Linked DNA regions of Sus scrofa. The protein of the gene in region 6 purifies or fractionates together with the protein of the main gene of each other region. This does not show direct contact. Links are inferred from orthologs where the notes say so. Each region holds a gene or a part of one and is shown on either strand. Other genes may lie near its edges.

Evidence for each region.
Region 1: the proteins of KAT5 (region 6) and MAX purify together in Homo sapiens (affinity purification with mass spectrometry; 3 studies listed by BioGRID and IntAct, with this or other methods). This does not show direct contact. The link is inferred for Sus scrofa from reciprocal best matches to the Homo sapiens genes KAT5 and MAX.
Region 2: the proteins of KAT5 (region 6) and ACTL6A purify together in Homo sapiens (affinity purification with mass spectrometry; 6 studies listed by BioGRID and IntAct, with this or other methods). This does not show direct contact. The link is inferred for Sus scrofa from reciprocal best matches to the Homo sapiens genes KAT5 and ACTL6A.
Region 3: the proteins of KAT5 (region 6) and ATM purify together in Homo sapiens (affinity purification with western blotting; 3 studies listed by BioGRID). This does not show direct contact. The link is inferred for Sus scrofa from reciprocal best matches to the Homo sapiens genes KAT5 and ATM.
Region 4: the proteins of KAT5 (region 6) and EPC2 purify together in Homo sapiens (affinity purification with mass spectrometry; 3 studies listed by BioGRID and IntAct, counting the BioPlex papers as one, with this or other methods). This does not show direct contact. The link is inferred for Sus scrofa from reciprocal best matches to the Homo sapiens genes KAT5 and EPC2.
Region 5: the proteins of KAT5 (region 6) and SIRT1 purify together in Homo sapiens (affinity purification with western blotting; 3 studies listed by BioGRID). This does not show direct contact. The link is inferred for Sus scrofa from reciprocal best matches to the Homo sapiens genes KAT5 and SIRT1.
Region 7: the proteins of KAT5 (region 6) and MRGBP purify together in Homo sapiens (co-immunoprecipitation; 8 studies listed by BioGRID and IntAct, counting the BioPlex papers as one, with this or other methods). This does not show direct contact. The link is inferred for Sus scrofa from reciprocal best matches to the Homo sapiens genes KAT5 and MRGBP.

The regions. Positions count from the first base shown.
Region 1 is NC_010449.5:89,165,466-89,169,580, reverse strand, and holds the start of MAX (protein max), read left to right. Parts: upstream 1-1,315; 5' UTR 1,316-1,627; coding exon 1,628-1,663; intron 1,664-1,833; exon of another isoform or gene 1,834-1,982; intron 1,983-2,407; coding exon 2,408-2,434; intron 2,435-4,115. UniProt on the Homo sapiens protein: Transcription regulator. Forms a sequence-specific DNA-binding protein complex with MYC or MAD which recognizes the core sequence 5'-CAC[GA]TG-3'. The MYC:MAX complex is a transcriptional activator, whereas the MAD:MAX complex is a repressor.
Region 2 is NC_010455.5:117,608,415-117,611,914, forward strand, and holds part of ACTL6A (actin-like protein 6A), read left to right. Parts: intron 1-2,527; coding exon 2,528-2,628; intron 2,629-3,500.
Region 3 is NC_010451.4:36,619,291-36,623,563, forward strand, and holds the start of ATM (serine-protein kinase ATM), read left to right. Parts: upstream 1-1,473; 5' UTR 1,474-1,615; intron 1,616-1,874; 5' UTR 1,875-2,594; intron 2,595-4,273. Other genes in the region: protein NPAT, read right to left, coding at 985-1,021.
Region 4 is NC_010457.5:3,523,424-3,527,476, forward strand, and holds the start of EPC2 (enhancer of polycomb homolog 2), read right to left. Parts: upstream 2,801-4,053; 5' UTR 2,470-2,800; coding exon 2,317-2,469; intron 2,227-2,316; exon of another isoform or gene 1,836-2,226; intron 1-1,835. UniProt on the Homo sapiens protein: May play a role in transcription or DNA repair.
Region 5 is NC_010456.5:71,115,167-71,118,666, forward strand, and holds part of SIRT1 (NAD-dependent protein deacetylase sirtuin-1), read left to right. Parts: intron 1-1,291; coding exon 1,292-1,852; intron 1,853-3,500. UniProt on the Homo sapiens protein: NAD-dependent protein deacetylase that links transcriptional regulation directly to intracellular energetics and participates in the coordination of several separated cellular functions such as cell cycle, response to DNA damage, metabolism, apoptosis and autophagy.
Region 6 is NC_010444.4:6,563,830-6,566,524, reverse strand, and holds the end of KAT5 (histone acetyltransferase KAT5), read left to right. Parts: intron 1-1,187; coding exon 1,188-1,347; intron 1,348-1,470; coding exon 1,471-1,552; intron 1,553-1,644; coding exon 1,645-1,779; 3' UTR 1,780-2,195; downstream 2,196-2,695. Other genes in the region: RNASEH2C (ribonuclease H2 subunit C), read right to left, coding at 2,344-2,370, 2,612-2,695. UniProt on the Homo sapiens protein: Catalytic subunit of the NuA4 histone acetyltransferase complex, a multiprotein complex involved in transcriptional activation of select genes principally by acetylation of nucleosomal histones H2A and H4.
Region 7 is NC_010459.5:62,057,130-62,061,200, reverse strand, and holds the start of MRGBP (MRG/MORF4L-binding protein), read right to left. Parts: upstream 2,801-4,071; 5' UTR 2,736-2,800; coding exon 2,588-2,735; intron 2,148-2,587; coding exon 2,026-2,147; intron 1-2,025.

The DNA.
Region 1 (4,115 bases), on a different chromosome or scaffold from region 6:
GTAAAGTGTGGTTCAGTTACTTTTTCTTAGTAGTAGTATTTTTCTTCCGGTGGTACTTGATGAACATACTCTTAAATTGGCAGCAGGGCAGTCTCGTTTTTGTTTCCACAACTGTGGGCTTCATGAAGATGGGTAACGTTCAGGTCTTATACATTATGGCATTCTTGTGCTGGCATATGTTAGGTGTTCAATAAATATTGGGGAAATAGCTATGATCATACCGCATGCAGCAGTTTTTGTTTTTTTGTTGTTGCTGGTTTTTTTTTTTTTTTTTTTTTGGTCTTTTTGCTATTTCTTGGGCCGCTCCCGCGGCATATGGAGGTTCCCAGGCTAGGGGTCGAATCAGAGCTGTAGCTGCCAGCCTAGCCAGAGCCACAGCAACGCGGGATCCGAGCCGCGTCTGCAACCTACACCACAGCCCACAGCAACGCCGGATCGTTAACCCACTGAGCAAGGCCAGGTATCGAACCTGCAACCTCATGGTTCCTAGTCGGATTCGTTAACCACTGCGCCACGACTAAAACTCCCGCATACAGCAGTTTTTAAGTGGGATTTTAAGTGGATAGAGAGCTGTTTCTCATTTGATATACTGATTATGCTACTCTGAACTGGGGCACTTCTTAAACTGCTTAGACTACAACCAATTCAGAAGGCGTTTTTATTTCCACGTAAGCAGTTGTTGAGGGTCAGGATCTGGGAATGTACAAGCCTCACTTGAGTAGCAAAATGGTCACTCCAGGGTGAATGAATACAAGAGTCTCGTGGGAATGGTCCCTCAGCTAGGCCGGTCATCCTGCCTGTCCAGTAACACTAACACCTGCCATTGACACCTCTTCGCTACCAGATCCCCAGGGTCCACGTGAGCATCCGCAGCCGCGCCCCCTAGTCCCCCGCAGCAGGATCCCACAGCAGACGGGTTACGCCCCAGAGCACAACACAGAGCGACTCAGAGGTCTAGAAAACAAAGTAAAACCAGTCGCATCAAGGAGAGACAGCGTTATTTCGGCAACCGGCTACTCGTCCACAGCCTCCACCCTGTCCCCTGGGCCAGGCGCCCAGACAGTGCCCGGCTCCAGGAGTCCCAGCTCCCTCCACGTGTCCTGTCTTCCCAGCAGCCACCTCTGCTGCCTCTGTAGGAAAATCTCCTGACAACTCGCGGTCTGCGGACTACGACTCCCGGCAGGCATCGCGCCGCTCCTCTCTCCACTCCCCCCTGCTCCACCGGACACGCAGGCGCTCTGGGCTCCGTCAACAAGTCGGGCTGGGAATGACTGGATGCAGTTCTTTATGGGATTTGTAGTTTCTCTGGAGCTAGCCGGGCCATCATTCAAAGGGATATGAACTACAAGTCTCGGCGGCCCCAGCGTGACGAGCTTGGTCACGTGGCAGGGGGCCGACCGGGCGTGCGTGCCGCCGTTGATCCGGTGCTGCAGTGAGGAGGTGGTTCTCGCCCGTGTTGTGTGTGTGTGTGTGTGTGTGTGAGTGTGTGTGTGAGTGAGAGAGCGAGTGAGTGAGTGTGTGTGTGTGTGTGGAGATTCGGCTTGTTGTTGTCGGTGACTTCCCCCTCCCCTCCACCCCTCCCCCTTCCCTGCCGCCGCTGCAGTGGCCGCTCCCTGGGCCGTAGGAAATGAGCGATAACGATGACATCGAGGTGGAGAGCGACGTGAGTCCTGGGGCTTCTTCCTTCCCTTGCGAGTTGTCAGGCGGGGACAGCGGCCGGGATTTTCAGCAGGGCGACTGCGGCAGGGGGCCGGGCAGCTGCCGCCTCTCCCCTTCCCCCACCCCCACCCCCCGGGCTGGGACCGCCTCCGTCGCGCTCCCCGCTCGCTCCCCTCCGGGCTCCTGGCCGGAGCGGCCTTCTGGGTCTGGAGGTGGGGAGGAGACACGCGGCCTCTGGGACCCCCACCTCCCCCCGTGGGGGAAGGTGCTGCCGTCTCCTACTCTCTCTCTGGCTGGCTCAGGATCCGGGACATAGGGACAGGGTGCGCTCGGGATCCCATTGTCCGGATTCTGGGGAAGGGGACGGCGTTCGGGACCTGCCCCTTAGGCCCACGGCCCCCTCCTCCCTTGACTGGCGGATCCTGGGGGGTGAGGGAGGGCAGAGAGGGTTTGGGAGTGCCCAGAAGTCCTGAGCTGGGTGCAAGGGGAGGAGACAGTGCTGTGGACCCCCTCTCGCCCGGTTCGGATCCCGGAAGGAGGGGTGGCGCTCGGACCCCCCCCCGCCCCCCTACCGGATCCAGCTGGGGAGGAGGGATGGGGGCGTGGGGTGGGAAGGGAGGGAGGGGGAGGTAAGGCTTACTCCCCACCCGCCGCTTCCTCTGCCGCCGGCATTTTCTTTCTTATTATTGAATGTGAAGTGTAAAAATAACTTCTATATTTTCTATTTTTTTTTTCTCTCTTATTCCAGGAAGAGCAACCGAGGTTTCAATCTGCGGTACGTCTCCTACTCTCCATTTCATTTTCATTTCCGTTCAGTTCTAGTCCTTTTTGGGGTTAGAGAGAAAAAGAGTTCTGTTGCTTTTAATATTGTAGTAAACTCTCCTGTTAACCGCTAAGGTGAGGTGGGGCCTTGTCCTGGGGTTGTAGGTGGTGGTGGGGGGCGGGTTTGTAAATCTCATAATTCTAGATTCTCAGGTGATAAGTTCCAGTGGCTGTAGGTGAGTGAGAGAAGCTGTATGCAGGGAAATGAATCTTTCTGTAGTGTTTAGATGAGAGTTCTAGCTGTCACTATTTAAATGGGGAATGAGAAATGCACCATGTTGAAGTAAATTGTACTCTTTCAGGAAGAAGTGGTCAGATTTATTTAAGAACAGTAGGTTCTAAACTATCTGAATAGTTGTGTGAAGTTGAAGCCACATGGAGAAATCACCTTTAACCAAAAGTCATGTGACTTCTGTAAACCTATGGAATCTAGCACAATTTGGTATTACTTTAATGCAGAAATTGGAACTGTAGAGGAGCCAAAGGTTGAATGTGACCGTGTCATATTCAGCAGCTTATTACGGTCTGACTGTATTTGAGTCGAAGGAGCAGTATAAAGAAGGTAGAATTGTTGAAGAAAAGTGGCATTGCAGAGTGAAGTTTGCTAGGAAGTGGTGGTTGAGACTGTAAAGTGTTATCAATGATTTCTCAGAGTTTTGATATTAATGTTTTCCATAAGTGGTTCTATGGATTAGGATAGACATAATCTCATGTCTTTGGAGTATGGGATAGTACTGTGGGTGTTCCATGAATAGATCAGAGGAGGAAAAAAATCAAAGGGGAAGAGAAATGAGTATATCATAGTGTCTAATATTTGACAGATGGGAACAGTAGGAAGTGTATAGAATGGGGGTCAAAAGTTTAGATGTCTCTAGGGAGCCCTGGCAGTGAGATAGTCAGGAATTGAGGGCACAGGTGAGGACTGGGGTACTAGAGAGCCCATGCCTCTCCTAAAAAGGTGGCCAGTCCAGTGGGATTGAGGACTCAGTATTGCCTTATCTTTCTATTTTAAAAGAAATTTTAGAAATCTGGATTATAATGTTCTTCTGATTTTCAAAATAACGTTTGGGACAACCAAGTTGTTCAGGAGCTTGTTAGAATTGCCACATTCTGCTTGGAGACCTCTGATCTAAGAATTTAATTCTCACAGAATAAAAGCAAGCCCTCTAACTTATACCTGCTATTCTTTAGAGCAGAGATTCTGAGGTTGTCTAAGCAGTTATCCATTTAGAAAAAATTATCGAGAGCCGTTATTTTCATAAAATCAAAGAATGCAGTTGTCCCAGGGGTCTTAAAATTATCCCTGGTAATAGTCACTAAAAAAGAATTTGTTTTATTTTTTCCTTGAAGGATTTGAAGGTAATATTTTGAATGTATGAAGTATTGTCAAATACTTCATATTTATACATATTTTGGAAAATTAAGGTCTTTTTCAGTTATTGCCTTCCTTATTAATGTGACTATGGAATTTCATGTTTGGAACCCAGTCTATTTGAAACATTTTTTTTTCCCTGAAAGTCTCCAGTTATAAAATCTGCCCTAGGGCTGGATGAGGATTGGAGGATAGGAATTATTTAGGCTTCCTTTGCAGAATCATTATTTAAATTGGAATTATATTAGCTTTCCAGTGAGAC
Region 2 (3,500 bases), on a different chromosome or scaffold from region 6:
AACTCAGCATATAATTGTATTCACGGCTAAGGTTTATTATGCTGAAAGGATACAAAGCAAAATTGACAAAGGGAAAAAAAGGGGCATGTAGTGAAGTCCAGAAGAAACTAGTGCAGGCTTCCAGGAGCTTATAGTGAAGTTGTAAAGGATGTGCTTAATTCCTTCAGCTACCAGAAACGTGTGTGTGTGGTCTATTAGAGGAGCTTAAAAAAAGGCTCAATACCCTATTTCACACTCACAAAGATGGCCATATTATAAAGACAGACAATAGCAAGTGTGATGAAGTTATAGAGAAACTAAAACTCTGTATCTATTTCTAAGAGAAAACATAAAATGGTGTAGTGGCTGTGGCTTTGGAAAATAATTTTGACAGTTTCTTAATGGGTTAAACAGTTCCACTCCTAGGTACCAATACAAGAGAAATTAAAACATATCTCTGTACCAATACCTCTATGCAAATGTTCATACAGCATTATCCATATCAGCAGACAAAAAGTGAAAATAGCCCAAATATATAAGATGTGGTATATCCATAAGATGAAGTACTGTTTGGCAATAAAAAAAAATGAAATAACTGATGTAAGCTAAAATAAAACTCCACATAATGAAATAATGTAATGTAATAAGAAATGATCAGAATGAAATAATGTAATGTAATAAGAAATGATCAGAGGAGTTCCCGTCGTGGCTCAGTGGTTAACGATCCAACTAGGAACCATGAGGTTGCAGGTTCGATCCCTGACCTTGCTCAGTGGGTTAAGGATCCGGCGTTGCCGTGAGCTGTGGTGTAGGTTGCAGACACGGCTCGGATCTCGTGTTGCTGTGGCTCTGGCATAGGCCGGTGGCTATAGCTCCGATTGGACCCCTAGCCTGGGAACCTCCATATGCCTCAGGAGCGGCCCAAGAAATGGCAAAAAGACCAAAAAAAAAAAAAAAAATCAGAAAAAGCTAATCTCTATAGACAGAGTAGTGGTTGCTTGGGGCTGTGGATAGAGTAGGAAGTGACTGCAAAAGGGCGTGAAGTTTGGGAGGGATGGAAATATTCTAATATTGGATGGTAATAATATTCACACAACTTTGTAGATTTACAAAAGAAAATCATTTAATTGTAAAGCTTATAATGTATCCATGTCATGGTAAATTATACTTCTATAGGGCTGTTTAAAAAAAAAGGTGTAAGGACATTGTTGCAAATATTTTTTCTTATATCATCTTGATACTTGGAATAAGTGATTCTTTTCTATTAAAAAAAAAAAGATTCAGTATCTATGGTTTTTATTTGGTTTGGTCATATAGGTATCTATACCTAACATGTACCAAAATCCCAGACTCTCAGAAGGAAATAAGGTGTTCACATTGTTTGTATAAATAGTTTAGGCAGAGTGAGCTACTCTTATTTAGGGAACATTTATATCAATGTAGGGAACTGTTTACCAGCCAAATTCCTAGGGGGCAGCCAAGGGTCAGCCTTGCAAGCAGGCCTTACTCAGGTCTGCTAAGTTAACAGCAAGTAAATGAGTTTGTTGTTAGTTCCAAGTGTTTGAACATAAGTGCTATTCTAGTAAGCAGGTGAGAAAGATTTTAAGACATGGATTGCGTTATCCAGAAAAGAGTTTGGGATATGAGAAGAGAATTAAGGGTGGGATTCTTTCTGAAAACTTATTATATATTTAACCAATAGAGCTGCCTGTGAAGGAGAATGAAAAGGATTGGTTAGTGAAGTAGGAAAAAATTCAGGAGAAGGCCAAGAGAAGAAAATGTTCTAGAAGTATAGAAAGAAGTGCAGTGATTCTCATTGTTCTCTGCTATGCCGTTGAGATTTACACTAAAGGGAAAGAGAAGTTAAAACTACTAAGGAATTCCATTTACCAAAAAACCCCATCCTGATAGACTTGTAGAAGTATGTTGTACAAGTAATGACATTTCTTCAATGTTCTGTGGCAAGAAAAGTGTAAACTCTGGAATCAATAGTGTCAGTTAATTTAAAGAGGTCAGATGAGATTACAAATGTGAAGAATCCACTGGATTTGCCGTTAGAAGCTTATTAGCAGTTTATTAGCAGTTTACGCAAGCAGTTTCAATGGAATGTTTAAGTGGAGTCCAAATTGAAAACATACTATTTTCTAAATTTTTAAAATGTCTTTTCATCTTTTTTTTTGTAGAGTATACTTTTTGAATGTTAGGTCTAGATCATAACAGTTCTTTGTTTCCCTTACCATTCCAATTGCATATTGGGCCTCTAATAAGTACTTACTGAGTAATATTTATCTGGTATTTTATGTCTATTTAATACATTAATTACATCTGGGACAAGTCTGGGGATTGTAATACTTTGGGGGCTGGAGAAACCATATCTAGAAAACAAAGATAATGTCAATATAAAGTACTGTTCTATGAAGAAGATCTGTAAAATAAGCAGGTTCTGTATATTAAAAGTATTAGAAGCTAAATCATTAGAAACAATCTCTCAAAATATGCTGTATTCTTCAACTAGCATTGTTTTCAAGGTATTACTCTCATATTCTAGTTGAAGATTGGGATAGTTTCCAGGCTATTTTGGATCATACCTACAAAATGCATGTCAAGTCAGAAGCCAGCCTACATCCTGTTCTAATGTCAGAAGCACCGGTAAGACAAAGACTTTCTCAAGTTTCTCTGGGTTGTTTTCTACTCATTTGAAGACTGTTTCCTTTTTCTTTAAAGAGACGGAGACGTCCATATTTTAAATTTTGGAAATTAGGGAAAGGGGGATTAATTTCTAAATACTCTTATGTAACTTTTATTATTTCACTAACTAAAATACTCGAAAAAGAATTATGAAGTACCCTAGTAGGGTTATTTATCTGTCTTTTTCTGTGAATTTAACATATGATTTCCTTGCGCTGCTTCCCATTTTGGTTCATGAATTATCCCTTATCGCTCAAGGGCAGTGTATATCTGCTTTTGTACTCCAGTCTCCAGGAGAGAGGTCAGTGTTAAACTAGGGTTAGAAGTTGCTAGACCGGAGTTCCCGTCATGGCTCAGTGGTTAACGAATCCGACTAGGAACCGTGAGGTTGTGGGTTTGGAGTTCGGTTCCTGGCCTTGCTCAGTGGGTTAAGGATCCGGAATTGCCTTGAGCTGTGGTGTAGGTCGCAGACGCGGCTCGGATCTCGCATTGCCTTGGCTCTGGCATAGGCTGGCGGCTACAGCTCTGATCCGACCCTACCCCGGGAACCTCCATATGCTGCGGGAGCGGCCCAAGAAATGGCAAAAAGACAAAAAAAAAAAAAAGAAGTCGGTAGACCAAAGTCTCTTGTGAAAGACATTTGGTACAGAGTCAAAAGGGCCCAGAAGACTAGCATAATTACTATAAATTATCAATATTTTGTTATTGTTTTCTAACCTTGTTTCTTTTATGAGTACTGGGTATAAGTGGAAGGATTTGATGGTTTACAATGCATATTTAAGATTTTGTTGACTAAGTCTAATTTTAAGATTTAATAATATTTCATGTTTATA
Region 3 (4,273 bases), on a different chromosome or scaffold from region 6:
AACAGATTACCCTCTAATGTTTTCTGTAAAATGTACTTATCAGAAACCTGTGCACGAAAGCCACTGGAGGGGAGGGGCAGGGCTGAGTTCTTTAAAAAGTAGCAAGAAATGGGATTTTGTGACAATAAAGTAATGGCTGTAGATTCCATGGGAAGTTTCATTACAGATGTTTACCATTTACATACGATGCCTGTAAATCACTGGCTCGAGTTTTAAGCTTTATGTGGCTTTCATTCCTAGCAGTACAATCCTCTATTCTTTCAGACGACAAATAACAAAACCCGTTTCCCATACAATGTACCCTGACAACTGGCCGTGGAACTAAACTGTTTTCAAAATGAGGAAAAACTAACTAGGACTAGAAATGTTCAAATGGAAGGCATTTCCCCTGTGAAAATTCTTGTTAATTAAAAGAACCCGAGCTGCTGCCGTCAGAAAGTATGCAATTAGCGTTTCAAACCTCTACACTGGACGACTTCTTGCGGAGGGACGGGATAAGGAAGGAAGATCACCCATTCGTCCCAAATTCGCAGTTCTAAGGGCGAGTTACGAGAAGGGCGTCAGGAATGTCTTTCTACAAAGCTGGGGGGAGGGGGCTGGGGGAAGTCCCTCTCTTTCCTACTTTGGTCCCAATTCTGACAAAGTGCAGTGTGCCAAGGTGAAGCCGTCGGTGCATCACGTAGCAGCTTCCCGGCAGGGTCCTAATTAAGTGTAGGCCTGACTTTCCCTCCAATCCCGGCTTCAGGTGTTCCACTCCGGGCTTCCTTCAGCCTCTCCTCATCACGCAACCTCGAAGGAGAGGAGTGTCCACACACAAAGCCCGAACCGCCCGAGCCCCCGGCTGAAGAACCACCGCCAGCCTGAACTCGGAGACGGGGAGGCAAAGCCCCAGAGCTTCCCTCCCTGGGGAAACCTTTGGCCCCGAGGGTCCTTCCGTCCAGCTCAGCCCGGTCCGGTCTCCCTCTCTACCGCGTCAACGCTTACCCAATACCAGCCGGGCTACGTCCGAGGGTAGCAGCATGATCCAAGCCGCAGGAGTACCCGCAGTGAGAGACGAGACTCAGGTAAAAGCCAACAGCGACGGCTCCTGCGCCGCATCTCCCGGTCCCGGTGGCGGCACTGAACCCCGCTGCAATTTGTCCCGCCTCTTTTGCTCCACGCCAGCCAATCGCTTCCGCGGGAGAAAGAAAGGCGCCGAAATGAAACCCGCCTCCGTTCTCCCTGGCACTGACGTCATTTCCGTGCTCACGTTTGGCGGGTGGGGTCAAGGGGGCGAGGAGGCGGGGCGCGAGCGTTGGAGACCAAGCCGCAGGGAGAGCGTGGCTGCAGGGTCGCATGCCATTGGCAGACAGTGCGCAGGCGCGTTCCCTTCCGAGCCCGGTGTTTTGGGAGAGTGTTTGGTGTCCGGCGCGCGTGGGCGGACCGTACCCGAACGCTCCGCACCTCTACCGCTTCCGCCCGGGACGCACGCTGCGTGGCCACGCTGAGTTTGGTCGGAAGCGGGATCAGTGCGTGGACAGGTGGCTCGGGCTGCTGCTGGGAGTGGAGCGGGGATTTGGTCTGCGGCTACGCCGCCACCAGGGATTCCACTTGGTTGTCCAGTCCAGCCGTCTTGGTGCGTAAGCCGTGTAGTGGCGTCTGCGTTGGGGAATTAAGATGCCTCCGGGCCGCTCTGTCCCAGCCCCCATATGCGCCCCTTTACTCCTCTCCCCACCTCATCTTGACGGGACTCTGGTACTCATTGCTTTCTCCAGCTCTCTTTTCGTGCCTCTGGTGGACTTAGCCTTGAACCTTCCTGTGCGTCCCCTGCCTCTGTGCCCAGAAATTAACTAGATGGCTTAACTAATCATCTTTTTCTCCCCTGTCATAATTAGTAGTTTAAGTCAACGAGTGATTCGTTGAGGCTTAAACTGAAGTTTCGTGGTTAAGAGCTTGGGCTCTGGAATCACACTCCCGGAGTTGGGGTTCTGTCAGCTGGCTGTGTGATCTCGCTGTACCATCTATCTCGTCATCATCCTATCCTGTGTCACCACTCAAGAGTGTTTGCTGTTTTTTACCAGGTACAGAGAAGTAAAAAGACTGTTACAATTCAGAGTGATAATGTGATAGAAGAACATTGTGATGGAAGAGGAGTGAATGAAGTTCTGTGGAAACGGCCTGGGAGAATCAGTTTCAGTTTGCAGTGAGATTTCAGTGTTAAACTGCCCTGGAGGGAGGTGGGAGCCTTACAGACAGAAGGGTAAATGCATATGAAGGCATAACGTGTGGAAGGTTCCTGAAGCTCTAGGGAGAGCCTCACAGAGAACATTACCCGATATTCTGTGGTAATCTATGTTGGAAAAGAAATGGAAAGAGAATGGATGTGTGTACATGTATAACTGAATCACTTTGCAGTACAGCAGAAGTTACCACAACATGTGAATCAACTGTCCTTCCATAAAACTTTAAAAAATGGAAAAAAAGGAGAAGAGAGAGGTCCTGCATGTAATGAAGTACATTTGGGCATTTTCAACATGTTGAACATATGCTCTTACTGGGATATGGTCTTAACTGGGAGAAAATTGAGAAGCAAGGAGACAAGGATATTCTTTCAGGTGTGGGTGGAAAAAGAACCATTAAAAGAGATGCGAAACAGAAAAGAAGGGAATAATGATAATTGCTGATATTTATTGAGCATTTGCTATGTCCCAGGCAGTGTGTTAAACATGTACATCAATCTTTAAAGTAACTTTGAAGTTCTAGTTCAATTCTAATGTGGTTTTTCATTTTATCATTGAGAAAACTGAGGTTTAGAGAGATTAGCTAGTTGGAGTTCCTGTCGTGGCACAGCGGAAATGAATCAGGCTAGGAACCATGGAGTTGTGGATTTGATCCCTGGCCTTGCTCAGTGAGTTAAGGATCCAGCATTGCTGTGGGCTGTGGTGTAGGTTGCAGATGCAGCTTGGATCCTGCATTGCTGTGGCTCTGGCCTAGGCTGGCAGCAATAGCTCCTATTAGACCCCTAGCCTGGGAACCTCCATATGCCGTGGATGTGGCCCTAAAAAGACAAAAAAAAAAAAAAAAGAGAGAGAGATTAGCTAACTGCCCAAGTTACATAGTTTGTAAGTGCAGGACCAGGGTATGAACTAGTGCAGTCTGACTACAAAGCCCACACTCTTAGCATTAGAAAAAAATGGCATGGTGGTCTTTTGTGCTGCAGCGGGTTAAGGATCTGGCATTGTCACTGCAGTGGCTGTATTGCCACTGTGGCTTAGGTTTGATCTCTGGCCTGGGAACTTCCACATGCCACAGGCACGGCTCCCCAAAAAAAGATGGCGTGCTAAGGGCAGAATTAGATCCAGAAAGATATGGTATAAGCATCATTGTCAAATTCTGCAAAGGGATCATTTTGGTTGAGATCTGAAAAGGAACAATGGATTTGCCAATTCAGAGGGTGTTACTTAGGAAATATGTGTTATACCACTTGCATCTTGGAAGTGGAGCCTAGATGTATTAATTGGATTAATGTATTAATTGAATTCAATTTTACCTGATGATACTCTTACTCTAGCTAACTACTGTCTTACTCTAGCTAACTACTGTCTTGTTCCTTTAGTTGTCTTTCATTTCCTCCAACATTGCAGTTTTCCATTTTAGAGCTCGCTGGCTGTGTTTCTCCTCTAAGATGTTGGTTCTCTCGCTCTTTCTGTGCCTGGCACCAGTTTATTCAGATCTTTTAACCCCCTGTAATATGTGTTCCTTAATAGGTTATAAAAAATGATCCTCTACATTGGTATTTTATTTCATTTGTCTTTTCAGGGCCTCATCTGTGGCATATGGAAGTTCCCAGACTAGGGGTTGAATCAGAGCTGCAGCTGCTGGCCTACACCACAGCCACAGCAATGGGGCATCCAAGTCGTGTCTGTGACCCACTCCACAGTTCATGGCAATGCTGAATTATTAACCCACTGATCAATGCCAGAGATCGAACCCACATCCTCATGGATACTGGTTGGGTTCATTACCACTAAGTCACAGTGGGAACTTTGCTATCCATTGATATTATATATTTTCTTCCTATGAGACATATATCACAATTTGGCATTAGGCATTGATTTATAAGTGCACTTTTTATTGTCACTCTCTCCCACTAATTATAACTCCAGGAGAGTAGGGTTTGTGTCTATTTAGTTCATTATATGTCTAGCTACCTCTAACACAGTACTTGGAACACCGTAGTTTCCCAGTAAAAGTCGTTGTGTGTATCAGTTAATGAACATCTCTTGTTTATATA
Region 4 (4,053 bases), on a different chromosome or scaffold from region 6:
AGGCAAAAGACTCTAGACTATAAATACTGCCAGGGTTTGTTTAGTTTTAGATTGACTTTTAAGAACCTTCACTTGCAACATTAAAGACATGGAAAGGACAGGACAAAAAGTCAGAAAGCCTGAGTTTTAACTCTAGTTCTATCAGAATTTGGATTTCTTCCTAAAATTGGGCAGGTGAAGCAGGCTCCTGAAAATAATGCAAATCAGCACTCATGCTCTAGACTGAAAAGGTTAATAATACAGAATTATAAAGGGGAAGCATTTATTTTTATTGCATCATTTAAAAAGTAACTAAACCACAAGTTTTCTTACTAAATTAAGATAAAATGCCAAGACATACCTAAGGGCCTAAAACAATACATAAGTACATAGCTGATCACTGTCTGCAGAAAGTAATATGCATTCACAGGAGTTCCCATCATCGCTCAGTGGTTAATGAATACGACTAGGAACCATGAGGTTGCCGGTTCAATCCATGGCCTCGCTCAGTGGGTTGAGGATCCCACATTGGCGGGAGCTTGGTGTAGGTCACAGACGCATCTCAGATCCCCTGTTGCTGTGGCTCTGGCATAGGCCGGCAGCTACAGCTCCAATTAGACCCCTAGCCTGGGAACCTCCATATGCGGCAGGAGAGGCCCTAGAAAAAGGCAAAAAAAAAAAAAAAAAAAAAAAAAAAAAAAAGTAATATATATTTCAGGGGCTAACTATTCATTCTAGAATAAGGTTTTTAATTCAAGTTCTTCCCAAACCCAAGTAATAGGATCCAAGTAACTACATACAGTATTGATACTTCGAGACTCATTTGCCACTTTTTCTTTCAGGGACATATTAACAGAAATACAACTTCGTGGAATCCAAAGCTGTGTTTTTTAAAGTTCAATTAACTTAATTCTCGAACGTGCTATAACTTCCTTATTTTAATTATCTTTTTCATGGAAAACTGACCTAAGCTAGAAATAAATTTTATTTAAAAACAAAAAGAATTTCCACATATGATTTAGCTCTAAAATCTTCAGCATAAATGTTGGGTTTTCATTTTGTTTATTTTTTAAGTTGAATATTCATTTGACACTGAGAACATATTCCTTTTCTACGGAAAGTGCAAGGCTTTCAAGTAATCAAACATTAACGAAGAATGTGGTTAAATCACAGCAGAAGTAGTAATAACAGGGTAATATAATGAGGTCACAACTGGAGCAACCAATCAAAGGCATTAAAGCATTTCCTGCAATATTAATAGTCATAAGAGAAAACCAATCACAGAAACCTTGGGCCTTCTTTTGACAGTCACAGAAGCAAGAGAACCAATCCACGCACACCCGAGGTTGACAATAAGGCGGGACCACAGGTTCATTGAAGAAATTCTTGAGGGTGCAGTTACTATGAACTTCGCACACAAGTAGCACCACTCGAGTCATAAACACTGTCAAGCCAGAGGAAATTCAACCATATCCAAAATTTAACGCATCAGGGAGAAAAAACATTTTTGCCCCAAATTGCTGCTATTAATAAAAATGCAGCTGTCAATATGGATGCAATAGGTCCTCAACTTCTAAAACACCCCCCCATGGCAATTTTTCAGGGACGCGGGGCGAGGACTGTGGAGCATCGGCAGCTAGTTGCCTAACATCGCCAGTCCCTTTCTAAAGCCTCACACTAAGCAGGCACCGTCCGGGCTAGGCAGGCAGAACCGACTCGCTCTGGGCCCGGAGCTAGCCGGTCAGCGGCTTCTAACGTTACATCCTCCTAGTGGTCGTGGCCCTCAGCCTCCCCGGCCGCAGTGCTGCACCACCTCAATCCTGCTGCACCAACGCGGGCCGGGGTGCGAGAATTACCTTGCTAAGAGGAAGACGATGTTTTGAAAGCGTTTTACTTTCCACAAGTCATTTCAAAAAGAACCCAATGCAAGGCTGAATCCAAAAGTGGGGGAAAAACGTTGCCTAGCCAAAGCATCCCCTGCGGATTAAATAATCCCACTCCAGGGGGACAAAAAAGGTAAACAGAGGCCGTACGTCAAGTGCGGCCAGAACATCCCCTGCGCCATTCCGGGCCGCCGCTTACGGCAAGGCCCCCTTACGGCAGCGTAAGCGGCGCTGCGAGCTAATCACAACACTGGGACGCAACAACATGGCGGCCGCGGGCGGGCGCTGCGCCGGCCGAGAGGGTTTACGCTACTCCGCCGGCGTAAGGTCCCAAGCGTTGGAGCGGCAGCGGCGCCCTCCAGCGAGCGTAAAGCGCTCTGTGAATGGCGAGGCCCGACTGACAAAGGGGAGGGGGGAGGAGGGAAGGGGGGGTAATAAACACTCGAGTCCCTACCGATTCCTCCTCCTTCTCCATCCCGGTGGGCATCTGGGGCACGGCCCGGTTGATGGAGACGCAGTCGTTGAGATCAGGCATGTCCTTGCCGCGGTAGATAGGCAGCGGTTTGGCGGCGTCCAGCGCCCGCGCTCGGAAGGAGAGTTTACTCATTGTCTCCCCGCCTTACAGGAACAGCCCGGGCGGCGGCGGCGGGGCGGGCGGGGAGGGGGGGAGGACTCCCGCCGCCTCCTCCACCACCTTCCTCAGTGCAGCGCGGCCGGCCCGCTCCTCCTCCTCCTCCTCACTGCCCCCGGCCACAGCATGGGCGCCCACCCCGCCCGAAAACAGCCCCCCGCCGCCCGCGGCCGCTTCCACACACTAGATCCGCCGCTCGCCCGCCCGATCCGCTCCCTGCGCCATGGCCAACATGGCGGACATTACCACAGCGGCGGCGAGCGATCCCGGCAGCCCGCGCGAGAGCGCGCCCCCGCCGCGGGAACGCGCCTCGCCCTCTCCCTCCCTCCCTCCTTCCCCTCCCTCGCCTGCCCACCCACTCTCTCCGCGGCGCTGCCGGCCCGCGGGAGCGTGCTCAGCCTCGGGCCGCTCCGGGTAGGGGGGCGGCAGCGGCCCTCTGCTCCGCTGCCGGCGCTCTAGCCGTGTGGCAGGTGTCAGGTGCGCAAGTTAACCCGCGCCCCCGAGCGTGCGCCTCTGCCTCCGCGGCCCCGACACCCAGCTAGTTGGGTGCCCCGGAGGACGGCGCCGGGCAAAACACAGCCGCGCTGAGCAGCCCGTGTGTGCAGAAGTCTGTGAGCGGGAAAGGGAAGATGTCAACCGAGCCACAGCTGCCCCACTGAGCCTGTACTTACACAGCACTTACCTCCACAGCGCCAGCTAATTCTCATCCTCCAAATCGCGCATCCCTGGGAGGTGCGAAAGGTCCATTCCTTCCGTCCGCTCCGAGGGGCGCAGACCTGTCGGGTCTCGTCTGCCCCGAGAACGCCTCCGCAATCCCGGCCCTCTTCCCGCATCTTTTTTTTTTTTTTTTTTTTTGGTACCTGGCCGAAAGAGCTCTCCAAGGTAAGGCATCCTCGCTTTCGCTGAGAGGATGCTAATGGCAGCAGTGAGGGTTAATGTTTGAGGCTGCCAGATGCAACAAGTGCACTTGAACCTGTCACCAAAACTTCAGAGTTATTTAATGGATGATATTTCTGATTTCAAAAATATTAAGCTTATAATTTTTAACCAAGGCAGAGAACATTTCCAGAGTGATAGATCCGTGTAAAATATTGGATGCTGTGGAAGATGCCAAGAGGTTTGAGGAAAAGTTCCTGTCCTCGTGCAGCTTTCACTTTGATGGGATGACAGAACGGTTAAAAAGATGAGTAACAGTAAGAGATGTAAATAGTTGAAGAACAGGGCAACTGAAAAGTAAATGACAGCCAAAAGAAAAAAAGTTTATAACTTGAAGAAAACTACATAGGCAATGACACAAGGCAGTAGAACATGCTTAATTACCAAATGAGTCATACAGGCCATAGTTGCCATGAGAGTTCAGAGAAAGGAGACTACTTTAGCCTGAACCGGTTAGAGAAAGTTCTAAAGAGGAGGTAAAATCCAGTTGACTCAAATTTATTTGGCAGCGATTGTTGATATCAACTTCATTTAGCCAAGAGTTCCTTAGTTAGACTTTAAGCATCACAGTTTTCCTACAAAAATCCCTGGGAAGAGTATAACACATTTTGTCATTTTCTAATA
Region 5 (3,500 bases), on a different chromosome or scaffold from region 6:
TTGGTAAGAAGATGAGTCCTTGTCATAATCATGATATGTGCATCAGCTGTATCCACAAGGGTGTTGATGTGCATGCAAATGCTCAGATACAATTTTAAGTTCCTATTACGCTTGCAAATATTTATTACTTTTTTAGGGCCACACCTATGGCATATGGAAGTTCCCAGGCTAGGGGTTGAATCAGAGCTGCAGCTGCCAGCCTACACCATAGTCACAGCAACACCAGATCCGATTCGTGTCTGTTACTTAGACCACAGCTTTTGGCAACACCGGATCCTTAACCCACTGAGTGGGACCAGGGATCAGACCCACATCCTCATGGATACTAGTTGGGTTCATTACCACTGAGCCACAGTGAGAACTCCCTCATGAATATTTCTTTAACCCATGTTCTATAGTGTACCTTTTTTCTCTCTCTAGTGAGCAAGCAAGTGGGAGAGAGAAAAGGGACTAATTCAGTAGCGTCACTTGTGCCCTAAAAATGAGCGAAGGAGAACAGAGGCGAGAATATCAAAACCCTTAGCTAGATAATTAAATTAGACCCCCACACCAGCAAATAGGCAGCCAGAATGCTGGAAGAGACAGAGTAAAATTCTCCAATTCTTTATCCTAACCTACGTGTAGTGGCTTTAGCAGTTTAACTCAGTCTTCCCTAAACAGCTGTTAAATTCTGTTAAAGTAGACTATAGAACAATTTATAACTAAAAGGAAAAAAAAAGGAAAAATGAGCTTCTTTATTTTTGAAGGTTTTTTCCCTCTTTAAAGGTAAGGCAGAGAACTTTTTTTTTCTGCTTTTTAGGGCCACACCCGCGGCATATGGAGGTTCCCAGGCTAGGGGTCTACTCGCAGCTGGTCTACACCAGAGCCACAGCAACGCAGGATCTGAGCCAAGTCTGCAGCCTATGCCTCAGCTCACGGCAACACCAGATCCTTAACCCACTGAGAGAGACTAGGGATTGAACCCGAAACTTATGGTTCCTAGTCGGATTCGTTTCTGCTGCTCCACGATGGGAACTCCAGGCAGAGTATTTCTTAAAAGTTTTCTGTGGGGTAGCAAAATGTGTTGGTACAGAATGGAAAAGTTGGAAGTGATTGCCCAGACGATGGAGCAGAACTTGAAATTTTCAAAGATGCTTGATAGCTTGATATGTAATGGCTTGGTTAAATATTGTAGGTGGGTGTCTTTTTTCGGTATTGAGCATTTTAGATTTTTACATAGTGCATTTGTTGTGGTTTTATTAGTGTACCTCCTTTCCTTTCTCTAACTCTTACTTTTTCACCCTATTTTTAGGTTCCATACCCCATGAAGTGCCTCAGATATTAATTAATAGGGAACCTTTGCCTCACCTGCATTTTGATGTAGAGCTTCTTGGAGACTGTGATGTCATTATTAATGAATTGTGTCATAGGTTAGGAGGTGAATATGCCAAGCTTTGCTGCAACCCTGTAAAGCTTTCAGAAATTACTGAAAAGCCTCCACGAACACAAAAAGAGTTGGCTCACTTGTCAGAATTACCACCCACACCTCTTAATATTTCAGAAGGCTCTAGTTCACCAGAAAGAACTTCACCACCAGCTTCTTCAGTGACTCTCCCTCTTTTAGACCAAGCAACAAAGAGTAATGTTGATGATCTAGATGTGTCTGAGTCAAAAGACTGTGTTGAAGAGAAATCACAGGAAGTACAGACTTCTAGGAGCATTGAAAGTGTTAAAGAACCGATGGAGAGTCCAGGTTTGAAGAATGTTGCCTGCAGTAATGGAGAGAAAAATGAAAGAACTTCAGTTGCCGAAACAGTAAGAAAATGCTGGCCAGCTAGACTTGCAAAGGAGCAGATTAGTAAACGGCTTGATGGTAAGAAAGGCTGTTGAACCATTCTGAAAGTATAATTATTGTTACAAAATATTTGTGAGAATGAGCAATTGTGGCAGGTTAGGGTAAGTTTATGCAGCTAAATGTAATAGTTGTGTTTAGAGAAACTGTAACATTGATAATTTAAGCTAGAAAAAGAAACATGGGTATCTTATTTAAACATGGGGAAGAAATGTGTGAAAGTGTGCGCTGTACCTTGTGTTTGTCTAGGAATAAGGCGGTAAGCTTTAAGTTGGGAAATACTGAGGGCTTTGCCATTATCTGGTGAGAGCTTTATAGCTGGTAGCAGTGATTTGAGATTGGGGTGCTTATTGTGGGTCAGTGCCTTTACATTTCCTATTTTAATCTTGTGAGATAGGAACCATTACTTCTCTGGTACAGGTGGGAAATCAAGGACCATTCAGGTAACAGCTGCGGAAGAACCAGGTTTGGTTTCAGGTTCTCTTAACCATTATGTGCTATCTCAGATCTAGAAAACATCTGATTCTTCTGAGCATCATAAATAGCATCTGCCCTTTTTTGTTGGCACACCAATTAGTATTAACAAAGGTGAAATCACTTACTGCTTTTTGAAACCACTTACACCCAAGTATCATCAATGGCAGAAACAGCAGAAATTGTGCTCTTAGATGCAGGTTATACAGCTTAAAACCTTAAGTCTGTTCCATTTACCATACATGGTGAAAACTGAAAATTTTCTTTTTCCTTTTCATGTTCACAGCTGTGGCATATTGGAAGTTCTCAGGCTATGGGTTGAATCAGAGCTGCAGCTGAGACATAGGCCGCAGCCATACTGGATCCTTAACCCACTGAGGGAGGCCAGGGATCAAACCTGCATGCATCCTCACAGACACTATGTCAGGTTCTTAGCCCACTGAGCCAAAATGGGAACTCCATGGCAAGAAATTTCAGGCAATATATATATTACGTGTTCTAATCATAGCTGTAAATAAATTTTAGTTCAGTTGAATAAGCCTCTGCGCATATTCTTTACCAGGCATTGTAGCTGTAGCAAGTTCTGCAGATACTGATCAAGCTACTGATGTTTGAGTGTAATTACAAATACAGGTGAACAAGGGAGTTCCCACTGTGGCTCAGTGGTAACGAATCTGACTAGTGACCATGAGGATGTGGGTTCAATCCCTGGCCTCAATCAGTGGATTAAGTATCCAGTGTTGCCATGAGTTCTGGTATAGGTCAAAGACATGGCTTGGATTTGACCCCTACCTGGGGCTGCAGATGGCAGCCCTGAAAGTCAGGGGAAAAAAGTGAGAAGTTTCCCTTGTGGCATTGAAGCTGTGGCACAGGTCACAGCTGGAATGTTGCTGCGGGTGCAGCCAAAAAAAAAGAGAAAAAAATAGGTGGTATTTAAAAAGGTAGATGCTACTTGGAGGGGACTAGGTTCTAGAAGGTTTTCTAAAAAGCCTAAAAGTTCTGGGAGTTCCCTTCGAGGCTCAGCAGTAATGAACCTGACTAGTATCCAGGAGGACATGGGTTCAGTCCCTGGCCTTGCTTAGAGGGATAAGGATCCAGCGTTGCCATGAGCTGTGGTGTAGGTCACAAAAGTGGCTCGGGTGTGGCTGTGTCGTAGGCCATCAGCTACAGTGCCCATTCAGTTCCTAGCCCAGCA
Region 6 (2,695 bases):
TCACATCCTTAGGAAGCCCTCAGCCTGGTAGAACAGGCAGAGCTGAAAGAAACAGGCAGAGCTGAAAGAAACTCAGTCTAAACCTCGGGGCTCAGACCTCAGGGGAGATGGGATGTGGGCAGAGCCGTGAAGGAGCTGTGCCGAGTTGTGCCCAGTTGGAGCACACAGGGACACCAGAAGCCCCATTCCAGGCAGCTCCAGAGGGTGGGTGGGTGCTCCCGGGGCGGGGGGGGGGGGGCTTCCTGCAGCTCCGGAGAGGCGTGGCTTCCCCACTGAGCCATCAGGACCCTCTGTGCAGAGGGTGAGAACTCTGTGTGCCCCTTTGCTCTGCAGACACCAGCCTCTCTGTCCTCCCCAACAGGCTGCATGATGGAAGCCACAGGAAGCTGGGCAAGGGGCTCAGACTGGCAGAGAAAGATGTATTGGAGAGAAAGCCCAGGGGGCCGTCATCCACCCAAGGCTGGTTCTGGCTGAGGGTGAAGAAGGGCTTCTAGAAGTAGTGGACATCTCAGGGCCTCTGTCCAAGAGCTGTGAAGCCACTTGCAGTTTCACAGGCCTCAGGGTCTCACCAGGAACCGCCTGCCAGTGCCCAGTGGTCAGCAGGGTAGAGGAGGAGGGTGGAGCCGTCAGAGTGGGAGGGAAGGGTGGCAGGAGGGCAGTCCCCTGGCGAGGACTGGCCTCCCTGCCTGGGGGAGCGCTTTGCCGCTCCCCTCCTTCCTTCCTCACAACCACCAGTCAGGCCAGCCTGGTCTTAGGGCAGCTGATGCTTCTCAGGAACTGACTTGACTTGAGAATCCAAGCGTCCCCTCAGGCCCGGACCAGAGGTGGGGCCTGCCCACTTCTCTCCTCACACGTCCAGGCTGAGTCTAGCATGACAGAGGAAAGCTGGAGCCACTTTCTTTCCACAAGCCACTTCCTCTGTACTCCCCCACCCCAGCTGTAAGCCCTCGCTGGCTCTTAGGTGATTGGACCTGAACCTCTCAGCACACAGCGGAAGAGTATGGTCACTGGTCCTCTGTTAGGAACTGAGGCACAGAACAGACAAGCCATGCATCCAGGCCACAGAACCACCACCTGGCAGGCCCAGGGTGGGAGCCAGGCAGTCTCCCTCTGCAGCCTGTGCTCTTAACAGAGGGTGGCAAAACGCTGGGATCGCTCACCCACCCTCTCCTGCTCCATTGCTTTAGGCTATGAACTCTCCAAAGTGGAAGGGAAAACAGGGACCCCTGAGAAGCCCCTCTCGGACCTTGGCCTCCTATCCTACCGAAGCTACTGGTCCCAGACCATTCTGGAGATCTTGATGGGGCTGAAGTCGGAGAGCGGGGAGAGGCCGCAGATCACCATCAAGTGAGCCTGGCCCTGCCTACCTAGGGGTGCATGGCATATTCCTGGGCTTTCTCACTCCTCGGGCCCTTGGGAGCCTGGGGCAGAGATGAAGCCCCGGGAAACCTGGTCTTTGCCCCTCCACAGTGAGATCAGTGAAATCACCAGCATCAAGAAGGAGGACGTCATCTCCACTCTACAGTACCTCAACCTCATCAACTACTACAAGGTAGGGAGGCAGGCAGGGGAGACAGGTGTGTGCAGGGGAGCAGCGTGCAAGCCCTGCTCGGGCTGACCTGCCTGGCCCCGTCTCCCGTCCAGGGCCAGTATATCCTCACACTGTCGGAGGACATCGTGGACGGGCATGAACGGGCTATGCTCAAGCGGCTTCTTCGGATCGACTCCAAGTGTCTGCACTTCACTCCCAAGGACTGGAGCAAGAGGGGAAAGTGGTGACCAGGCACTGCCCATTAGCAGTGCCGGCAAAGCCAGCAGAACTGGGGCTGACAGCCTATCCCGCCCCCACTGGGGTCTCCAAGAGGCACAGCAAGGGGAGACAGGGCTGAGGACAGCTCCACAGGGAGAGGACAGGCCTGGTAAAGGCCAGCTGGTGCCTAGCACCAAGGAGAGCTCAGGGCTCAGGTCAACTCCAAGGTCAGCTGGCTGCAGGCCCAGGCCTGCTGTGAACCAGGGACCAGAGGGAGCCAGGCAGCTGTGTACAGTGAGATAGGGGGTGGGGTGCTCTGTACAGGGGGCTGGTGGCTGTACAATTTTCTTTTGTAAAGTAGGAATGGGGGGGAGGTACTGGCTGCAAAATTCTGGCCTCTTTTGCCCCACTGCCCCCTGGCAATAAACTGTTTCTATGGGCCAGAGCCATGAAAGGTTCTTGTGGGAGAAGACAGCACTGGCACACTCACAGGTTCTGTGAAGAGCGCCTTTATTGGGGTGACGAAGGCTCCCAAAGTGAAGGGGTTCACTGGAGTGAAGGGATCAGTGGCTTTCAGTTTCAAGGTCTGGTTTTCAGTCCTCTGGTACCTGGGCGTGAATCTGCAACAGGAGGAAATCATCCCTACTATCGGATTGCTGCAGTATAGTGACTAGCTGGCCCAGATACTCAGGGCAGAGATCCAACTGCTCAGAATCATAGACAGGACAGGGAAGAGTGGTGGGAGGCCATGCTGCCCCAGTGTTTTCCCCAGCCCCAAAGCCCCAAGTCCACTCAAGGGCAAGATTCAGCAAACAACTCTGAAGGGGAGCCTGGGAGGGAAGGGCCCATCCATCCACTCACCGCTGCAGCAAGGCTGGGCCAGGTTAGGGCCCCACGCACTTTGGAATCCGGACCAGGGATAGTCTCCAGGCCCCACAGGGTGAA
Region 7 (4,071 bases), on a different chromosome or scaffold from region 6:
GCACACAAGCTCCTGAGCCAGGGATCAAACCCGAGCCAAAGCAGCAACCCGAGCCGCTGCAGTGACAACACCCGATCCCCAACCCACTGAGCTACCAGGGAGCTCTTAAACGTGACTTTTAAATTCAGGAGCAAACAACAAACACAGGTAACGGTCTCGAGGCTGCAGTGGGCAGGTGGAGGGGGCCGAGGCCGTTTCTTTCTCTTCTACGGTTTACGAGGGGCTGGGCTTGTCACACGGAGCCAGACAAGGCAAAACCACAGCATGAGCCACCAGCATCAGTCACGAGAGGGAAGACTCTGGGTTGACTGTCACCTGAGATGGGGCCAGGGTGCCCAGTCTGCTGGCACACCTGCAGGGCCAGAATCAGGCTGCAGCTGTCCCGCAGGCCTGGCCCGGCTGTGCAGGCTCCGGGAGCACGCGATCCGAGGGCCGTGACAACCCTGCAGAAAGGCCATGGGGCTCCCGTCTCACCCATGTGGGCGGGCCACCGGGGTGGGAAGCAGGTGAGTGCAGGGGAGCAGGCACCGCCGATGCTCAGCGTGTTCCACCTGGCTGGCAGCTCGCACCTGCCGGACCGGACAGAGACGGTGGAGACGCAGCCCATGGGACGAAGGGAGAGCTTAGCTGGCAGGAGGGACTCAGGGTTGGGGGCGATCAGGAGACACTCGGGAGCCGTGCTCATCACCAGGCGGTCAGCGTGTAAACGTGCTGATCGGCATCGAGGAGCTTCAAAACCCGAGGGTTCCTGCGCCCACGGCACCTTGCGGGTGGGGTTCAAGGCCCCAGGTGACCGTGACGTCAGCCCCACAGCCATGCTAGGGTGCGAGGAAAAGAGAGAAGGGCCACTGTCCCGGGCTGAAAGCCCTGGGTGCCCCCGCTGCAGTTCCCTGAGTGTCACGTGGGCCCTGTGCTGGGGTCACAGCCATGGGATCCTCTGGGCCAGCAGCGTGCCTAAGAACCATCTGCCTCCCCCAGGTCGGGGACCCTGCCACTCTGATCTCTGGGTCCAGCCAGCAGTCAGGGCTCAGGACGTGCCTGGGGGCCAGGTGACCTCACAGTGTGACAGGTATGCGAGCCCAGTCAAGCTGTGGAACCCGGGAACTCACGGAGGGCAAGGCCCTGACCAGCAGGCATGGCCCTTTGGGTGGGCCTGGTGTAGTTTAGCGGCCAGTTCTCGAGTTTCTAGAATGCCTACTGCAGGCCAGGCGCTGGTCCCAGGACACAGTGGTCACCTTTCTCTCCTCCCTACACCAGGACGAGATGTGAGTGCCACGCCCAAGGCCAAAGGGAGGGAATGGCAGTGAGGTTTCTGGACCCAGACGGCTGGGGGTCTGCTGCCCCCTTTGCCCACACGCACCAATTCTCGCCTGGGGGCGTGAGGGGAGATGGAGCCTTCCCTAACCCAGCACAGGCTCCCACCTCACCGGGCACCTGCCACCCGGCTCCCACCCACTCTCCAGACACCCTGGCCTCCTCTGCGTCCTCTGATGCACCAACGCCTGCTGCCACAGAGCCTTGACACCTGCCGCTCCTCTGCTGGGAACGCCACTGGTCTCTTTGGCCACCCTGTTCCCCTAGTTCATCTGCCCCGCTAACGACATGGCTCAGGGGGGGTTCCGTGAGGCCCGGGTCCCTGCCTGCCTGGTTCTACCAGCAGTCACCAGTGTCACCTTAACCTGACTCAGACCCTGCCACCTCCCTGCCTACAGCACTCTGGGACTTTCTGTAAGACTGACAATGGCCTCAGAGCCCCTCCCACAGGCCTCAGCTCCTCAGTCGTCTCCTGGCCAGGTCCTAACTGACCCCTCAATTGCAAGTAGGTGCCATGTGATAACCAGCTACCGTCACTAGGTTTGTGTTTTCTGTAAAACTGCTCGGAGCTACCTTGTTGAACAACTGGTCCCCTGCGGGGCAGCCCAGACGTCAAGTTCCCTGAGGACAGGGCCTGGTGTAGACGCAGGGAGGCGCACGGAGGGGGCTCTCGGCCACCACCTGTCTGGGGGAGGGTGGGGGCCAGCTCACCAGTGCCTGCATGTCGTACATGGTGCTCAGGTGGTCCCAGATGACCTTGGAGGGCACTTGCCGGCCGATGTTCTGGCTGAACTTGTCCCGGATACAGATCATGTGGAAGTGCCGGTTCACACCTGCAGGGGGAAAGGGTCAGCCCGTGGGGGCAGACAGGTAGTTTGGAGAACAGACGTGGGGGTCAAGGGGAAGAGAGGGGAGAAGGCGCAGGGGGAGACGGGGGCAGTGCTTGGAGGGCGCGGGGGTAGAATGGGGTTGGTGGCAGGTACAAGGGGGGAGAGGAAGAGGTAGGGGTCAGTGGGGGAGGAGCAAAGGGGGCAGGGGTGCAGGTGAAGGCAGGGGTCGGCCGGCGTGGGGGGGTGGGGGCGGGAGGGGGCAAAGTCGAGCGGGGGAGGGGACTGCAAGGAGCAGGCCGGGGAGGGGCGAGCAGGTGGGGGCAGGGTGTGCAGGGGTGCAGGCGCAGGAGGCCCCGCCCCGCCCGCCCCGCGCGCGCCCCCGGCCGTTGCCGGCCGCCCCGCCCCCACGCGGGTGCGCGGCCTCGGCGCGGCGCTCCGCTCACCGACGGGCTTGTGGCCCAGCATGGCGTGGAAGAGGCACACCTCCACCTCGGGGCTCCACACGACCGTCTCCTCGGCCGGGCTGGTGGCTGCCTCCCCGGGCCCCTTGTCGCCCGCCGCGCCACCGCCGCCCACCTCGGCCTCCCCCATGGCCCGGCCGCCCAGCGACGAGCCCCCGGCGGGAGCGGGCGCGGCCACGGGCTCCGCGCAGGCGCACTCGCGGGGCGGGCGCGCGCTCGGCGGGCTCGCTCTGGGGTTCGCGCGCGGAGTCGGCGCAGGCGCAGCTGAGGGCGGGGTCGCGGCGCCCCCTGGCGGCCAGGTCTCTCAGCGCAGCGCCGTCGGAGCCTGAGGAGGATGAGAGGGACTGAGGATGTAAACGCCCTAAATTAAGTTGTGGCGATGGCTGCACAGCTCTGGGTAAACCCCGCAGAACTGTGCGCTTTAAATGGAGGAATTGCAAGTTACACCTCAGTAAAGCTGCTAGGAAGAAAAAGAACAGGCAACTGACAATGCCCGCGAGTGTGGCTCCAAGGGCTTCAAAAGCCCCTGGCTGACCTCTGGCCTGAGTGTGGAACAGAGCGGCCCCCGCGCGCCGGGGCAGAGGCGTCTGGGCCCCGCGCCTTGACCGCGGGCCTCAGCCTAAAGGGCAGGAGGGCCCAGGCCGGAGGGGGCGGGGTTAACCCCCACGGAGGGGCGGGGCCTGGGCGGAGTCTGGCCTGGCAGTCCTGTGACGAACTCAAAGAAGCACCCAATGGAGGCCGCCGGCTCCGCCCCGGCCCGGCCCGGCCCCGCCCTCGCGGCTCCCCCCGCCCCTCTCCGCTAGGCCACGCCCACCGCGGTGCCAGGGCTCTTGCCCAACGCGCGAGCGCTCTTCACCTCCCGGGTGTAGACTCCCGCGTCGGGCTTCCGGGTCCTCTTCCGGCTCCGCGACCTGCTAGTTCTGTGAGCGCTGCAAGGTGCTGGACCTCTTCAGGCCTAAGCTTCCTCCTCCGTGCAGTGGGGTTACTGATGGGGCTTGGTTTCTGGGTGCCCCAGCACAGGCTCGGGCGTCTTAGCAGACATTTGGAGCCACAGCGGTGAGCGCTGCCCCTTGGCCGTGTGGGCTCTGGCCAGCCAGTCACCTCCCGGTGGACTCAGAGCCTGAGTCCCGGCTTCCCATGCTGGTGCCCACAAGGTGGGAAGACGCGGTCAGCAGAGCCGGCCGTCCTGTGAGCCATGTTATGGCTGGACGTTGTGATTCCATTATTATTATTATTTGCTTTTTTTTAGGGCTGCACCTGCGGCGTATGGAAGTTCCCAGGCTAGGGGTCGAATCAGAGCTGTAGCTGCCAGCCTACACCACAGCGGGTGTGAGCTGCATCTGCAACCTAGATACCACAGCTCATGGCAACGCCGGATCCTTAACCCACTGAGTGAGGCCAGGGATCAAACCCGCATCCTCATGGATCCTAGTTGGGTTCATTAACCGCTGAGCCACAAAGGGAAC